Linked DNA regions of Ovis aries. The protein of the gene in region 2 interacts with the protein of the main gene of each other region in a biochemical or structural test. Links are inferred from orthologs where the notes say so. Each region holds a gene or a part of one and is shown on either strand. Other genes may lie near its edges.

What was found.
Region 1: the proteins of EPS15 (region 2) and NUMB form a complex in vitro, tested with the Homo sapiens proteins (2 studies listed by BioGRID and IntAct, with this or other methods). The link is inferred for Ovis aries from reciprocal best matches to the Homo sapiens genes EPS15 and NUMB.

Annotation. Positions count from the first base shown.
Region 1 is NC_056060.1:82,820,497-82,828,799, forward strand, and holds part of NUMB (protein numb homolog), read right to left. Parts: intron 7,449-8,303; coding exon 7,155-7,448; intron 5,596-7,154; coding exon 5,446-5,595; intron 2,617-5,445; coding exon 2,470-2,616; intron 1,670-2,469; coding exon 954-1,669; 3' UTR 1-953. UniProt on the Homo sapiens protein: Regulates clathrin-mediated receptor endocytosis. Plays a role in the process of neurogenesis.
Region 2 is NC_056054.1:25,790,900-25,798,459, forward strand, and holds the end of EPS15 (epidermal growth factor receptor substrate 15), read right to left. Parts: intron 5,455-7,560; coding exon 5,270-5,454; intron 2,733-5,269; coding exon 2,586-2,732; 3' UTR 332-2,585; downstream 1-331. UniProt on the Homo sapiens protein: Involved in cell growth regulation. May be involved in the regulation of mitogenic signals and control of cell proliferation. Involved in the internalization of ligand-inducible receptors of the receptor tyrosine kinase (RTK) type, in particular EGFR.

The DNA.
Region 1 (8,303 bases), on a different chromosome or scaffold from region 2:
AGAAAAGACAAGACATTTTCTATTTAGATTGAACCCATTAAAATAATGACATTACAGGTGTAAAACCAAGACAATACTGCTTGCTCTTTATTTAAAACTACTACCTAGCTGACCATACTGGTCATAAGCATGATTGTTGTTGCAGTGTGCTACTTACAGTAAGTGATACCAAGTGAGCTAGGGATCCCACCTGCCACTTCCAGCCCTTCCTCTTTTTTTACTTCAATAGGCATCAATGATAAACCAATCTTATGTACAATTTCTTACAGCTAACCTTTTTACCTTTGGCAAGATTACTTACAACTCATACAACTTTTTAATAGTGAGAACTATTTAAAATATTCTAAATGCATAAAAATAAAGATTTTGGCTTTTTGATATATATTTATAATATTTATTCTTACTCAAAATGGAAGCTCAACTTTACCCCTAAAACACAGCTCTGCTGGGCAGCTCCTGACAGGCCCTGCTGGGAGTTCCAGCAGCACAGCCTGCCTCTCTTCCCCAGTCCCAGCACAGGCCACCCTGTTCTTGATCTTTAAGAAGGCTAGTGCTGAGAAAGCAGGTAGGTGAAAGGCCTGAAAAACGAAGGGAGATCGTTTGGCTTCCCGTTGTGTTTTATATTCCAGTAAATGTGCTTTGAATACAGATTCCTGTTCAGATACTTCTGCTTCTCTGCTGCCAGAGACTGGTAAGGGGCTGAGGGAGGCGGGACAGAGGACAGGTCCTTGACTTTCTTAGTCTAACTGCAAAACAGCTCTTCCCTAGGAATGGGTCTCTCCACCTTTTTCAATCACCCCCATCCACATGCTATGCCTGGACATGCCCTTGGGGACCTTTGGGATTAGTGAAAAGCTTACTGGTTGGGAATGCAAAGTCCCCTTTGCTCCTCTGACCTCCACCCCCCTACCCGGGCCTAAGTACAGACAAAATACATAAGCCATAAGGACTGCTTAAAGTTCAATTTCAAAAGTCTTCTGTAAATCACTGGAGAAGGGGTTGGTGGGGGAGGGGTTAGTACGCTGCTTGGACTTGCTTTCCAAGGCCGCCCACTGGGCCTCAAAGGGATCCACCGTGCAGGTGCCTGCAGGAGCCTCAGTCTGCTTGTCTCCCGAGGCCAACCTGCTGTCGTCTACACCATTGAGAGCTGCAGAACCGTTGAGGTGCTGAGCAGGAGGCTTAAAGAAGGGACTGGCAGCAGCACTGCTTGTCTCATACTGTGGGAATGTCTGCTGCTTGACCAGGCTGGGAGACTGATGGGGCTGGGCAGCCTGTGGGTGGCCTGCAGTGCCAAACACGTTGGCAACCATCTGGGAGGGAGTGATGCCCACCACAGGCACGTTAGGGGCTGGATAGGTCATCCCGTTAGCCACAGGATAGGACTGGGCAGCGACAAAGGCTGGCTGCAGGGGTGGGACCACGCCCACTGGCACGGGCTGAGAGGTGAGGAATGTATTTCCTTGGAAAGGTGGCACTGGCTGGGCGATGGCAGTGGGTGGGGGCGGCTGGAGGACCGGCTGCAGAGGGGCAGCTGAGGCCTGGGGCTGCTGAGCCCGGACGCTCTTGGACACCTCCTCCAACCAGCGGTCGGCCTCGGAGGGAGTGCGTCTGTGACCAGCCTGGAAGAGACCTGGAGAGACAGCACCGGAAGACTGGCCCCACTCGGTCCCTGGAAGCAACAAGAGGAAGACAGGGAAGAATCAGGATCTTCAGGGGCTTTTTTCTTCACCTGATAATCTCCATTATTTGAATAATCCTAACGTGGAACAAGCCCCCCCAGGGGGATGGTCTGTGGTTTTGGTAGGTGGGAGCAAAGTCTCTATTACCAGCTGAAGAGGTTTCGTGGGAGGACAGGGAGAACCCAGGAGACCTCAGCTGTGCGTCTGTCGTTTACCTCAGCCGTGTCTGGAAGGTGCCAGAGATGGCTCAACTGCACAAAACTGAAGCTGCTGGCTGGCATCAGAACCCTGCCCCCACTGGTGTGGCTCATCTATGGTCCAGAAACCAGCTTGCACATACTCTAAAGAGCTGAGGTGATTCACTTTCTGCTCTAACAGAATGAGAATAACCAGGGACTTGCTGCCCGCCTTCCAGACACATGTCTTCCTGGTGAACTGCCTTTCTGTAGCCTTTTTTTGTAGGCCTGCTATTGTAGGAGGCAGAGTTGTCTCTTCCTACAGGCATGTCCACTGATCTAGACCCAGACACAGGCTCCTGCAAGGGAGGGCCCAGGACTCTGTGTCTTATGAAAGCTCTGTGGGTGGCTCTAGGGTCCTAAGAATTATCAATCTCACCTCTAAGAGCTCCTCTCTGACACCATCCTTCCTTATTAGTAGTTTATTTCCAAAAGGGATCCCACTTTTCCTAAAAGGACTCCTTCCTGGTTCCCACTAAGGTAAATGGCTGATTTTCAAACCAAGGTCACTTATCTGATCCCAGAATCCTCACCAGCATCTGTGGTCACCTTACCCGAATGTGTGGCTGCAATTCCCTTGTTAGCAGCATCAGGGGCATAGGCCCAAGGGTTGGTTTCGCGCACAGGCATTGCTACGGGTGCTAGAGCAGTAGGGGCTGGCTTAGCAGCAAGCACATGGAAGGCTGAGTCAGTGCCATTAGCTACAATGGGAGCAGACAACATTGATGGAGTTAATTCATGCAGGGTGTACAGGTGACCCCTTGGAGCCGGGTCAGTCAGGCCAATATGCAATACTGGTGAAAAGATAAGACAGAAAAGTTGGTGTGGGATAACCATGCCATCTGCAATGAATACACAAACCTTTTGGCAAAGAGAATCAGAGGCTGTAATTAAAATGGGTGTACTGATAAAATTAAATGACTCTTTTAGAAAAACATGTTTATGGGGTAAGAGGTAATGAAGACTCGAAAAACAATTTCAAATTAAGTTAAAAAGAACTGCTTTGTATTACAAGCAGCAAAAATCTATTCTAGCCAGCTTAGCCTTTGGCATAATGATAAAGTGTCATCTATCACTATTTCAAAAGATCAGATTATGCCAGTAGTGGTTGACACAGTCCTCTTTACTCTGTGCTAGGCTCTAATAGTGTTTTAGCATGCATCATCTCAAGCTCCTCCATCCACGGGATTTTCCAGGCAAGAGTACTGGAGTGGGTTGCCATTGCCTTCTCCGATCATCTCAATAAATTCTCTCAAAAACCCCATATTACAGTTGAGAAATCAAACGTGTTTTCATTTGCTTAATTTATAATTTGCTACAGAATTAATTTCATCTTTTTAAGACTTTTTCCCCTTCAGTAATGTTTGTAATGTCTTAAGGCACTCACTCTTGTTTCCTGTCTCCCTTTAATAAAATCCAGTCCTTGCTCCTTTACTCCAGATGGCTATCCCATCAGTTTCTACTCCTTTGCCTAGCTCTCTATACTTGGTATAGAGCAGACAAGCAGGCACCTTCTCCTGCCTTACACCATAATCACTCTCTCTTTAGGACTTGGCAACTATGCTTATGGCATTGGTGCTATTGACCCAGGGCTTGCCTAAAAGACTAGCTTATCCAAAAACTGCAAGTCCTCTAAAGGCAGGAAAAGGACTATATTCTATTTATAGTTTTGTATACCCACTACCCTGTAAATAGGCACAAAGTCAGCTGAATATAATAGGAACTATATTCAGAAAGACTTGGGTTTACATCCTGGCTGTGTGATTTGGGCAGTTCACTTAACCTTTCTGAGCCTAATTTCCCTTATCTGTGATGCCTATCTCAAAGGACTATTGTGAGGATTAAATGAGATGAGGAAAATGCAAGAGTCCTTACCATGATGTACGTGGCAGACATGATGCTAAGTGCCCAATAAATAGTACCTGTTATTGTTGGCAGTATAAGTATCTGTTAGATGAAATGCCACCTGATGCATATGAATATTAAGGTTTTGTTTTGTTTTTAAAGAGACTCCCTCCTGGAGGAAAAGCATGTTGCAGCTTTCAACAGGTGCAGGCAAAAAAACGCCTGCACAGCAAAACTTCTTCTGAGCTCTCTCCCAAAAGAAATGAAGAAAGATCAATTATATGAGCTCAAATTCTAACATCTGTAATTTAAGTTATACAGGCTCTTTGTTGACCTTTGAGTCAATCAGTTCAGTTCAGTCGCTCAGTCGTGTCTGACTCTCTGCGACCCCATGAATCGCAGCGCGCCAGGCCTCCCTGAGTTCACCAACTCCCGGAGTTCACTCAGACTCATGTCCATTGAGTCAGTGATACCATCCAGCCATCTCATCCTCTGTCATCCCCTTCTCCTCCTGCCATCAGTCCCTCCCAGCATCAGAATCTTTTCCAATGAGTCAACTCTACGCATGAGGTGGCCAAAGTATTGGAGTTTCAGCTTCAACATCAGTCCCTCCAATGAACACCCAGGACTGATCTCCTTCAGGATGGACTGGTTGGATCTCCGTGCAGTCCAAGGGACTCTCAAGAGTCTTCTCCAACACCATAGTTCCAAAGCATCAATTCTTCGACGCTCAGCTTTCTTCACAGTCCAACTCTCACATCCATAAATGACCGCTGGAAAAACCATAGCCTTGACTAGACGGACCTTTGTTGGCAAAGTAATATCTCAGCTTTTCAATATGCTGTCTAGGTTGGTTATAACTTTCCTTCCAAGGAGTAAGGGTCTTTTAATTTCATGGCTGCAATCACCATCTGCAGTGATTTTTGAGTCAATTCAGTTAATTTGAGTCAACTGAGTTAATTCAGTATCTCTGAAAACAACTTTTACTAATTCTTCAATGCCACAAAGACTAGTTTTAGGATCCTTGCTATAGAAGATGAAATGAAGTGAAGAGCCAAGAGAAGTGCCTTTTTCTTTACGGGACTCTTATGAAAGGGCAAAGACTAGGTGAGTCCAGTCTTGGCACCATAGATATTTTGGGCCTGATTGTTCTCTGTTGTGAGGTGGCTACTGTGTACATGGAAGGATGTTTATGGGCCTCCCTGGCCTCCACTGGGATGTCAGTAATAACCACCCTCTGCCACACCACAAAACCCAAAACATATCCAGACAATGGATGCTAAATTTTTCCCCAAGGGGGCAAAATCACCCCAGCTTTCTTTACTGTGGTAAAGAAAGCATGAAGCTAGAACCAACTCTGATGACTGCTGTTTCTGGAGAACTGGTTGGGTGCTTTGTCTCTTAACAGTTAAGTAGCAAAGCAGTGGGTTGGGACTACTGATGCTCCTGACAGGATGGAGTGAAAGGAGGGCAGGCACATGCAAAATGCAGACAATCTCAGGCAACAGGAAGGGAACAAAGACACTGTCACACAGGGAAATGTAATGAGCCTGAGACAGTATCAAACAGGGAAATGCAGGGGGTCTGACCAGATCGTGGGAAGCTCAGGATGCCAACTTACACTAGTGATCAGTGTCATAAAAGTATTAGTTTCAAAGAGAATCGCAGGCTAAGTGAGCACCAACCTTGAAAGGCAGGAGACTGTGGTGCCACCACTGTCACTGGTTTGGTCATTGGGGCGGATGAGAAGGGATCCTCAGAGGGTGTGCTGAAGGCATTGGTGATCTGTGAGCACAGCGAGCTGATGCTCTCTGCTTCGCCATCTACCTCTGGCACTGCAAGACAGACAGAAGATGGCTCCAGACAGAAAAACGGAACAAGTCTGGAACAGAACAGTGTCACGTGAGGTGGCATTTTACTCTGCCTCTGTTATTTGTGGAAGAAAAAGACTCAGGTGGGGCTATAAAAGCAACTTCAAAAAACTTACCACTATTCACTAGCTTTTTACATGAGAAGGTACAGAATGCTAACAATTCCTGTACTAAGGCCTACCTTCCTCCCTTGCAAATCCCCAGATTTCTGTATTTCCTCTCCTGTGTGACACTGTTGAAAACATGCTGTTCTCTTTTTGTGCCAGTGAGATTTTTCTAGAAGACACATGCAACCTGTTTGTCTTCCAACCAGGTCCCAAGCCGGTGATGTGAGTTAAGTTTGAGAGGCCCCCAGTGACTCTTTTGAGATAAATGGGTTAAAGTCAGGGGCACCAGTGGGCACTCAGTCCTTTTCTCTGTCATAAACTATGACAGTGTCATCACTGTCATCTTTCTCCAAAGTGTTAACATGAAAAAGTGAACTGAGGTCCAGGACTCTAGCGGCTTTGTTCTTAATATTGACTCTGGAATACTTCTATGTCACGGAGGAAGCTAATTATATGTGTTGAAGCTCTGTCTGCTCAACTGTGAAAAGAGAATAATGGTTTTGTTACCCGCCTGCTCCAGAGGGAGATTGAAAATGAGGTACTTGAAGCATCTGGAGTTTTGGTTTTCATAGGAGTTGAGAGGGGGCAAGACCCTCAGTAATGATCTAGTTTAACTGTTCTTTAGGCCGAGTTTTATCCATCAAAGAACCTAAATCTCTGTGCTTTTGTGCCACCAGCAGTAAGAGTGCCCTATTGAGACACGGCTTCCTCAGATTCTGTTATAGCACTGGCTCAACATGTCTGAGAGCAAAGTAAAATAGGGCCCAATAAAAGCACTGACCGGATCTGACACTTAAGCTTCGGATCTTATGATGAGGATAGAGCTACTGGGGTTGGCTCAGCTGTACAAAGGCCACACAAAGGCCTGTGTGACAGCTCTGAAAGGTAATGAATATGTGTGAGCAATCCCACTGTCTCTGATGAACAACAGATCTTAGATTTATACAGGAGACCTGTTTAGAGTTTCCTCCCTATGGAGCCAACCAGCCACAAGGACAAAGAGAACTTATCCATTTCTTCTGGTACATCTGACAGTGGTGCTATTTAACTGGATGTGTTTCCAAAGCCTTTTAAATTAACTCCCTGCTGGGTCCCAAATGGCAGAAGAAGAAGGGAAACTTGAGACCCTTGATGTCTGAAAGCAGGTACACTTTCATCAGGACAAATCACAAACCATGTAACTTGGACTAGGAATTTCCATCATGGCTCTGTTAACCTATTGCTGAAAATAAATGAACAACTCCCATCTCTCTCTGTGAACCTCCATTTTCTGCCAATGGGAAATGATACAAGCTATGCACAGCCACCAAACAGCCTCAGAAGAGGGGTGGATAGTTTGATGGGATCAGGGACTCCACTGGAGGTGATGTAACGCTTCAGTGCCTGAGCCCCGGGGAGTTGGGGATGCCATGTTACCTGTGTGTTTTATGGGGAAATCAGTCTTCCTCTGCATAGTGGAAGGCAACTCATTGATGCGCAGGGACAGTTGGCGTTTAAAGGGTGACATCTTCTGGCTAAGAGCAGGAAATCCTCGGAAAGAGCCTTGGCGAGCAAGTTGTTCAATTGGTGCATGCCGGCGTGGGATGGCGTGAGGATTGTTCATCTCCAGAGAGGCAGTGGCATCCAGAGTGGGAGAGGTGGGAGAGGATGGGGAGGTGACAATGTTGCCAGGGGCCACTGACGAACCATCAGCTGTCTTATCTGTATCAGCTCAAGAAAACAGGAGAATGAGGACCTTAGGGCAATGTCTTCAAATAATTTGAGCTCACATCACTAAGGAACCCCAAAAACCTCCTGGGTCATTTTACCCATCTACTTCCCTATGTATCTCAAAAGACAGGTTAGAAGCAGGGCTCAGATCTCCTGTTTTTCAGATAAATAAAGGGTTTAATAATCTACTACATGTCACATGGTATATCTACTATTCTCATGTAGTAATTAAAACACTGAACAAAACTAAACAAAACAAAACCCCCCAGTACCTATGAACTCTTAATGTGAGGTCTTTTAACGAATAATAGTGCACTGTTTTCAATGTTTGTTTGCTTTCTGGCCAGTGAGGCGGGGACAGAGGACTTCAGGAGTGGCAGAGTCAGAAGGGTCTAAACAAACTTAAGTTTGACAAGATGTTAAGTCATAAAGCAGGCCTGGACAACAGGCTCTCTTGAAGAAAAGCATACAGAAGTCAAATTTTAAATTGGAGTAAACAAATACAAGACTGTTTCCATGTGAATACCTGCTGTATCACACTCTCATTGTGGTCAGTCTCTACTTCCCCAACTCCCCATAATCCTCTGTAGATGCTAGGACTCAAGCATTTGGGCAGCTGCTATATGTAGCAAAAAGTATTATTTGGTGGTATCAAAGAATATGCTTCCGGTCTGAAAATCACTGAGGCACATTAAATAACAGCCTATACACATTCATTTGTCTAGTTAAAATAGCACTGTGTTTTTTTTGTTCTTTGGTATCCTGGCAGAAATGTCGATAAGAAATGAAAAAATCATAATCATTACTTCAATTTCAAATGAAAACATATATTCTTTTTTGGCTTAAAAATTAAAA
Region 2 (7,560 bases):
TGGCTAAAGCTAAGGGAGGCTAAATATCTTTGTCAAAGTCTTCTTTCCTAAAAGTGGCAGACCAGGGTTGCATGAATTTTTGACACCACAGTGCCTTCCAAGAGTCACAAATCCTCATATGCATACATTTCCTATCTTTCTTTCACAAAATAGGTGTCAACTAAAAACAAGTTAACATTCATTGGGTATTCTATACCAGGCACTGTGTCTCAAGCACTTTACACATAATTCATCTGTGCTGATTGCATGTCTACCCTTCCATGGACACAGCAAGAACATAACACAGAATCACGCAAAACTCCATGTCAGATAGGATGTATGGAGACTACGGTTTATTATTACTTAAAGTTTATTGTTCTCATAATTACAGGCTACAGTTTAGAAGTTTGAAACATAAGAGAAAATTCTATAAAGAACTCAAATAAATCTGAACAAGTAGGTAGAAGATGGTTAAAACCTTGTAATAAGTGCTACTTAGCTCTCAGGAATACTCATCTGTCCTTTTCCATCACAGGCACTGGAGCCAGAGTCAACAACATAAAATATGATCATAAATGACTCTAAGACATTCATCCTACTCAAGTGAGCATGGAGGTTTAGATATATATATATATTTATATAATATATACATACTTTAATATCATATTGGTCCACTGAGTATACATATTTTAACAAAAGATAAGAATCTATGCAATCCAGTTAAACACACATAAGATTAAGGTACACTGAAAGTTGGTGTTTATAAGTTACAGATATTTAGTACTTTCCAGAGTGTTCTTTTAATTAAAAAAAAATATTTTAAAACCATTTCAAACATCTGCTCATTTTCCCAGTGCAAAAGAAGGTTGTTCAAGTCAACTTACCTTTTTCCTAAAGTGGAAGGGGAAGAAAAAAAACCCAAAACCCACTACCATTTACAACTCCCAACACTACCTTCTCAATCAACTTTTGGAGTATATCCTTATAAATGGATTAGTTTATCAATATTAAAGCCCGGTGATTATGATTCAGCCCTTGCTTTGTCTGTATGACTTTCATGCTGAAATGCTTTAATTTATAAAAGTAGAAAAAAGCAATGCAAGAAAGTAGTTTAAATTCATTTTGAACTGCAGTAATCCAATTGTGTGTGGAGAGAAAAAAAGCACCATTTCAAAATGAAATAATTGGATATTCTGGAATTTATTCATAAGCTAGGCAATAAGTTACTCTGATTAACACAGATCAATACCACCTTGACTTGGTGACCACAGACACATTTAATTACTCTTTAGGTGCATTTTCCTTTATCTTGGTTTTCAACACATTATTTAAGTCAGTAACTGATGTTAAAAAAATTTAGATTACTCTACAATTTACAGCCTACTTCACAGTCCATTTTAAATTCAGCTTGTCTGCTAAGTCAGTTTTGCAGAAGATAGGCTTTTAACACATAAAGAGATCTGATAACTGGGCAGGTCTCCTCTCTCCCAATTTAAAAAAACAAAAAAAAAGTTTTGCTAGCTTGCCAATTTTGTAGGTGAAAAACACAAAAAGAATAGACTATTTTAATCCACAAAGATGGACACAAAGCAATAATGATTTAATACATGTCACTTTTTTCATCTGTATTCAGAGAATGTTTTTACATTTCAAGTAATTGAGCCTTCATTAAAGAAAACAAAAAAATATATATACAAAAAGTTAAAGTACCTTCCAGTTCTAGCTTACTAAAGTTTCTTCTACAAAAGTAAAAAAATAAACCTACCATGAACTAAAGAGGACAGTGCCATGGCAATGGCAGAATGGCTGCCAGGTTAAGATTTTTGCTTATCTTATATTGATGAGTATATTTTAGGTGAAAATTTTTCTTCATTCTCTAAGTACTTAAAATCATGGAGAGGTATCTGTTTATCTAAAATTCTTTAAATCCAGAAAAAAATTTTTTTAATTTATTTCAGACATGAGGCTTTAATATTTTTATTTAGGAAAAGATTGAGTCTGAAGCTCTAATGGTTCCATCTAAAACATCCTGTTTTCAACAGTGGGAGTCAATGTATGCAAAATATTTTTTCTTGTCTATAAAAAACAAATTGAACAGTATTTTGATTAAAAGGAAATACAAACATGTACTTTAAACTGGCCAATTTGCTCTATCATAAAAGAAATAGGCTGTTCTTTCCCTTCCCCTCTTTCAACCATTTAAATTAGGGGAGAATACTGCCAACTTTAAGAACCCCACTGGCTATCATTAGAGTAACTACAGAATAAGGGTAGCATAGGGGTGAAACTATTTCTCTATATTCCAGAAGGCAGAAACTTGGGTGCTCTAGCTTTACAAGTAAGAGAGGCACAGGCAGGCAACAGCTCACACTAAATGCACACCAGAGCAGGGGCCTAGGTGAAGTCATCTGGGTTACCACTTGCACAGGGGGAAAAAAAAGACAAATCTGAAATGGAGTTTAAAAAGCCAAAACTTTTGTCACATTTACAGGAATCTCAAACCTTTTGTATTCCCATGCTCACAGGTAGGTTTGATACACATTGTAAATAGCTTCAGTATTCAAGAAGGAGAGTGTTGTGTGGTTGACGAAGAACAGGAGATTTCTTCATGCTTCTGATATTTCAGATTTGCTGAGTGCAATAGCCAGTTCTAAGTCTTCTTGCTCTTGCTGATTCAGTCGGGCAAGTCTCTGCTCTTCCTCTCTCTCACTTTCTCTCTTGGCCCACTCAATCATATCTTCCTCAGAGGGATACTGCCATTTAAAAGATAAATGAACAAACAAATGAATACATTCATGAGTAAAACAAGTACAAAGAAAAGAAGGAAAAACAGCTTTCACAAAAGGAAATTGAACTATGTGTTTCACCTGAAGGGCTCTGGAAAAAGTCTTGATTTTTTTTTTCCCCCCAAAAACAAGTTTAATTAGTTTAAACTTAAAACTTTAAATTTAAACTTAAAAATTAAATCAAAATATGATTTAATCTTAAAAGCAATGCAGTCTACAGATAGAGAGTCTATAAAACTGAACATTAAAACATCATTTGTAAAAAGTGGTTATTCTTAAGGTGGAACAGATTTAAAAACAGGAGAGAACTAGCATATTTATCTAATGTAAAACATTTACTACTTCAACTTCAGTGAGCATCCTCACATGATACATCATTTTTAACTTAATCCCACTGGCAATTTCCTATCTTATTCTAGCCCTTCAGGTACAGGAAAATTATAAAGCAAAGAATATACTATACATAAATTTTGTTATACATAAAACAAGAGTCCTGGGTATATACCAAGCAAGATGTGGACCTAATCAATTTTTTTAATGCATTATAATGATTTTAGAAGGTATTGAGAACTTTTTGACCCATTCTAAATAAGACCTTAATGCTGGTAATTAATAAGTCAAGGAAATATATGTATCCACCCCAAATAGCAACCGTGGCAGATACTAAATAAAAACATTCTACTTGGTTTCAAGTCCTGTCATATAGAAGAACACCATAATAGGATGAATACCATAACAAACAGGATGAAAAGAAAGAAACTGTCAGGCTTTTTTGAAAATGGTAGCTTTCTTTCTAGGGAATTATAAGATCTTTGAAACTTTTAATGTTTAACAAATCTTTCATTTAAAAAGACATTTTTATTATTAGATGCTTAATATTATACTATACTGAGATTCTGGAAAATGAAAAAAGCAAATTGCTTTTGTTCAAGACTCATTCCAACCAGGTTTTGACTTATTGAAATCATATTTAAGATATTAAGTGCCACAAACTGCCAGAAGGTTATTTTGTACTAAGAGCATTATAGTAAGAAGAGCAATTCTGGGTTCTCTCCTTGAAACAACTCAAATTCCATCTAACAAGAGTCAGTATAATTCTGACACCTTCTGTTTTCCAATATTTAAAATATTGATTCCTGCTCTGCCTCTTCACATTTGGAAGAAGCCATTGAAACTTAAGAGTACAGATTCAAAAGCTAAATAGCCTAGTCTAATTCTGCCTACCTGCTTTACTAACTAGAAATGGCTGCAGGAATAAAGTGATCGGAAGAGTGACCCTAAGCTACACTGAGGGAGACATTAGGCAGACTGTGGTCAGTCAGCTGGCCACTAGATCTCTTATTTATAGAATCATCTCAAAGGCTTGAGGTTGTTAAGTAGAGGAAAACTGCTTTATTATAAAATAGACAGTGATAATGAAGGTCATTTTTATCTAGAAAAAAAAGCAACCTGGGAAATGAAACAGTTAGTTACTCTAAGAATTAAAACAAAAATTTACGTTTATCTACATGATGATGATATACACGTCATTGCTTAATGCCCCACCAGGGTGATATTTCCAGTTGGTTGCCCCATTTCTATGATCTTATAAGACCCGCCTATACTCTTAACACCACACCCTTCTATTGTCTTTATTGGCCTACTCTAGTCAGCTCTGGGAGAATGCAGAGTAGGTATGGAATGCTAGTGAACTGAGTGAGTGAATCAAAGTCGCTCAGTCATATCCAACTCTTTGCGACCTCATGGACTATACAGTCCATAGACTTCTCTAGGCTAGAATACTGGAGTGGATAACCTTTTCCTTCTCCAGAAGATCTTCCCAACCCAGGGATAGAATCTAGGTCTCAAGCACTGCAGGCAGATTCTTTCCTGACTGAGCCATCAGGGAAGCTTTGGGAGAATGTGGAGTAGATATGGGAAGCTAGTGAATTAGAGTCTTCCAAATAATTAAAGATTGTTTAGCTCTTAAAAATATTTATTTAATAAAACTGATTTATATTTTAAGAACATTTCTGTATGAAACCAGAGTTTTATTTTCTATTCAAAGAATTTCTGGTCCTATCTTCTTATATAATACAGTAATTGCTGACTGGTCTCCAGAAATTTTCAAGGTTTTATACACAAACACACATACACAGTTACAAATAACACAAACTCATTATTGGCATTATTTATCCAGAGGGCAGACAGCAAATGACTCTCTAGTGGCCCACTGTCTGTAACAATTTGCAAAATAATAACTGTCAAGGTTTTGCAAAGCACCTGGTATATATCCCAAGAACTAAGACTACTAAAATCATCTTAACAATGCAATAATTTCAGAACTAGCAGACAGAATCAAACAGAGGTTTTCTTGGTTGGGGGAAGAATAAAGATCATTTTTAACATGTTGGTAAATTTAGCTGAAATAATGCAAATTTGGCAGACTCAAAAATAATCTTTGAAAGCTCTTTAAACTATAAATGGAAAGATTTTCCCCCAAACAGCCCATTCACAGTACTTACAGCACTGAAGTTAGCAAAATTGCTTGGGTCAGCCTCTTTATTGGTAGTGGTAGTAGTAGAAGTGAATGGATCGCAAAACATATCAGGATCTTTTTCTTTGGGGCTATCATTGCCTGGGAAAGGCTGAAATGGATCATTCAGTTTAAAGGGATCAGAAGAATCCATTTTGTTGATGGGTCTTTTCCCTGGATCAAAATCATTACAATTAACTCAACCAGCAAGTATGGCAAACACAAACACACAACAACAGGAACACAGGGAGCATTAGAGAAGTGGGGATGGGGAACCTAAAACACATTCTTAATATGGTCTTAAATGACCACAACCAACAGTCTGTCGTCAAAAATTTCACACACAACCTCTTAAGTACACTCCAGTTTTATGCGGGTAAGTGGGAAAACAGCCAAGGGTGAAGCAGCAGACCTGGAATCTTTTCTGCTCAGAGTTAACTTCTTCTCCAAAGTAGCACGCTCCCAAGGAGAGAGACAAGAATGGATAAAACAGGGGGAAAATGACAAATAATGACAAAAACGGCCTCTGCTGTGATAACCTCTGCCTAATACATAATTCTCCACAAGTGGCAGTAAGGGCAAATGATCTCTGAAAAATGCTAATATTCTTCTGATTTTTCTCTGGATCTATATGTAACACCTGGGAGCATGAAATTAAAAACTACTTTGGTAAAGCCCAGCTACTTCTTGTCATCTACAGTATTTCAAACTGAAGGATAGAGAGAATGTTTTGAAGCCCAGGGCCTAAATTCTGTGGTTACTGATAAACTAATCTTTGACCAAACAATAGCATACTGTTATTCATCACCATTTTCAAACAAGTTTTCTAATTTTCAAGACTTAAACTTAGTACTTGCTGAAGAAAGGATAAGAATAAGTGTTAAAATATCTTCAAATCTAAATATATATTCCTGAAGATGTGTTAATCTGGTAACGGCAACCATAACAACAGAGTCTTTCTGTCACAGCTTACAAAAGGTTTTCACATCTCATATCTCAAAGGATCCTTCCAACAACCCTTGGAGGGCAGCATGAGAACTAATGCCACCATCTAACAGCTCAGAGATCTGGGGCTCAGACATAGGAAGCTCTATACACTCAAGATCACAGAGGATATCAGAGGATATTCAGAATGAGAACTTAGATCTTTAATATCCCAGTTCAACAACCATCCCCCCCCTTTTTTTTTTAAATGTGGACCATTTTTATAAAGTCTTTACTGAATTTGTTACAATATTGCCTCTATTTTATGGTTTTTTTTGGGCTCGACATGTGGGATCTTAGCTTCCCGACCAGGGACTGAACTCGTACCCTCTGCATTGGAAGGCAAAGTCTTAACCCCTGGACCACCAGGAAGTCCTCATTCTTCTTTCTTTGATTTTTCTACAGTGATATATACTCAGTTTATTGAAGTCTTAGATTTAGTTACAGCACTAGTATATTAGTTTATTGAGGATTTTAAAAATCACCTCACTATTGACCTCTTAAAGGTATAAAACTTAAATAAGCAAATTAACTGTCACTTGTTTTTTAACATATTCTGACAAATTTACCCTAGAACAATTAAAAGATATAGGCTAGTCTTCCCTAAAAGATAGAAATCGCTTGTTCACTTGATTTTTCAATAGGTAGTTGGGTATTAATAATTTTATTCACAATTCTTTAAATCAAAGAAGAAAAAAGAAATCTGCCCGAGAAATACCACAGGCAGGCTATTATAAAAAGGCAAGAATAAAAATCTAGAACTACTGTGGCTGAAAATTTATCAAGGATATAAGGTAAAAACAATGATGTACCAGATGTGTCTTCTCAAAAACAATCTAGCGGCACTACAACTACCCAGGGGATTGCCCTTTACCACTTCTCATAAACTTTATTGTTTTCATTAATTAAAATTGAACAAAACCCCTTTCTTTGGTACAGTACTAAACAAAACAAAAGCAAAAAAGTAAGAATCTGTTTCTCGACCAAAACACCACCTTTTTAAAATAAAGGAATCTCTTATTGAGGTAAATAATATTTTCCTTCAAGAAAAACAATACTTTCTTTCAAAATTCTGACACCAAAATGCTGAATTGGCCATTCTGATACCAAAGTGGCCATATATTCTCATACTGAAGGACTTAAGGAAGACTTCACACTTAGCAGGAAAAAGAAAGGGACTCTGGATTATTAACCTTCCCTTATAGAAATTTATTAAAATATCACAGTGCAGGAAACTCTGATTAAATGGAAGCTCATTAGCTTTCAAAAAGCAAGAGATTTCATTTACTGCCTCTC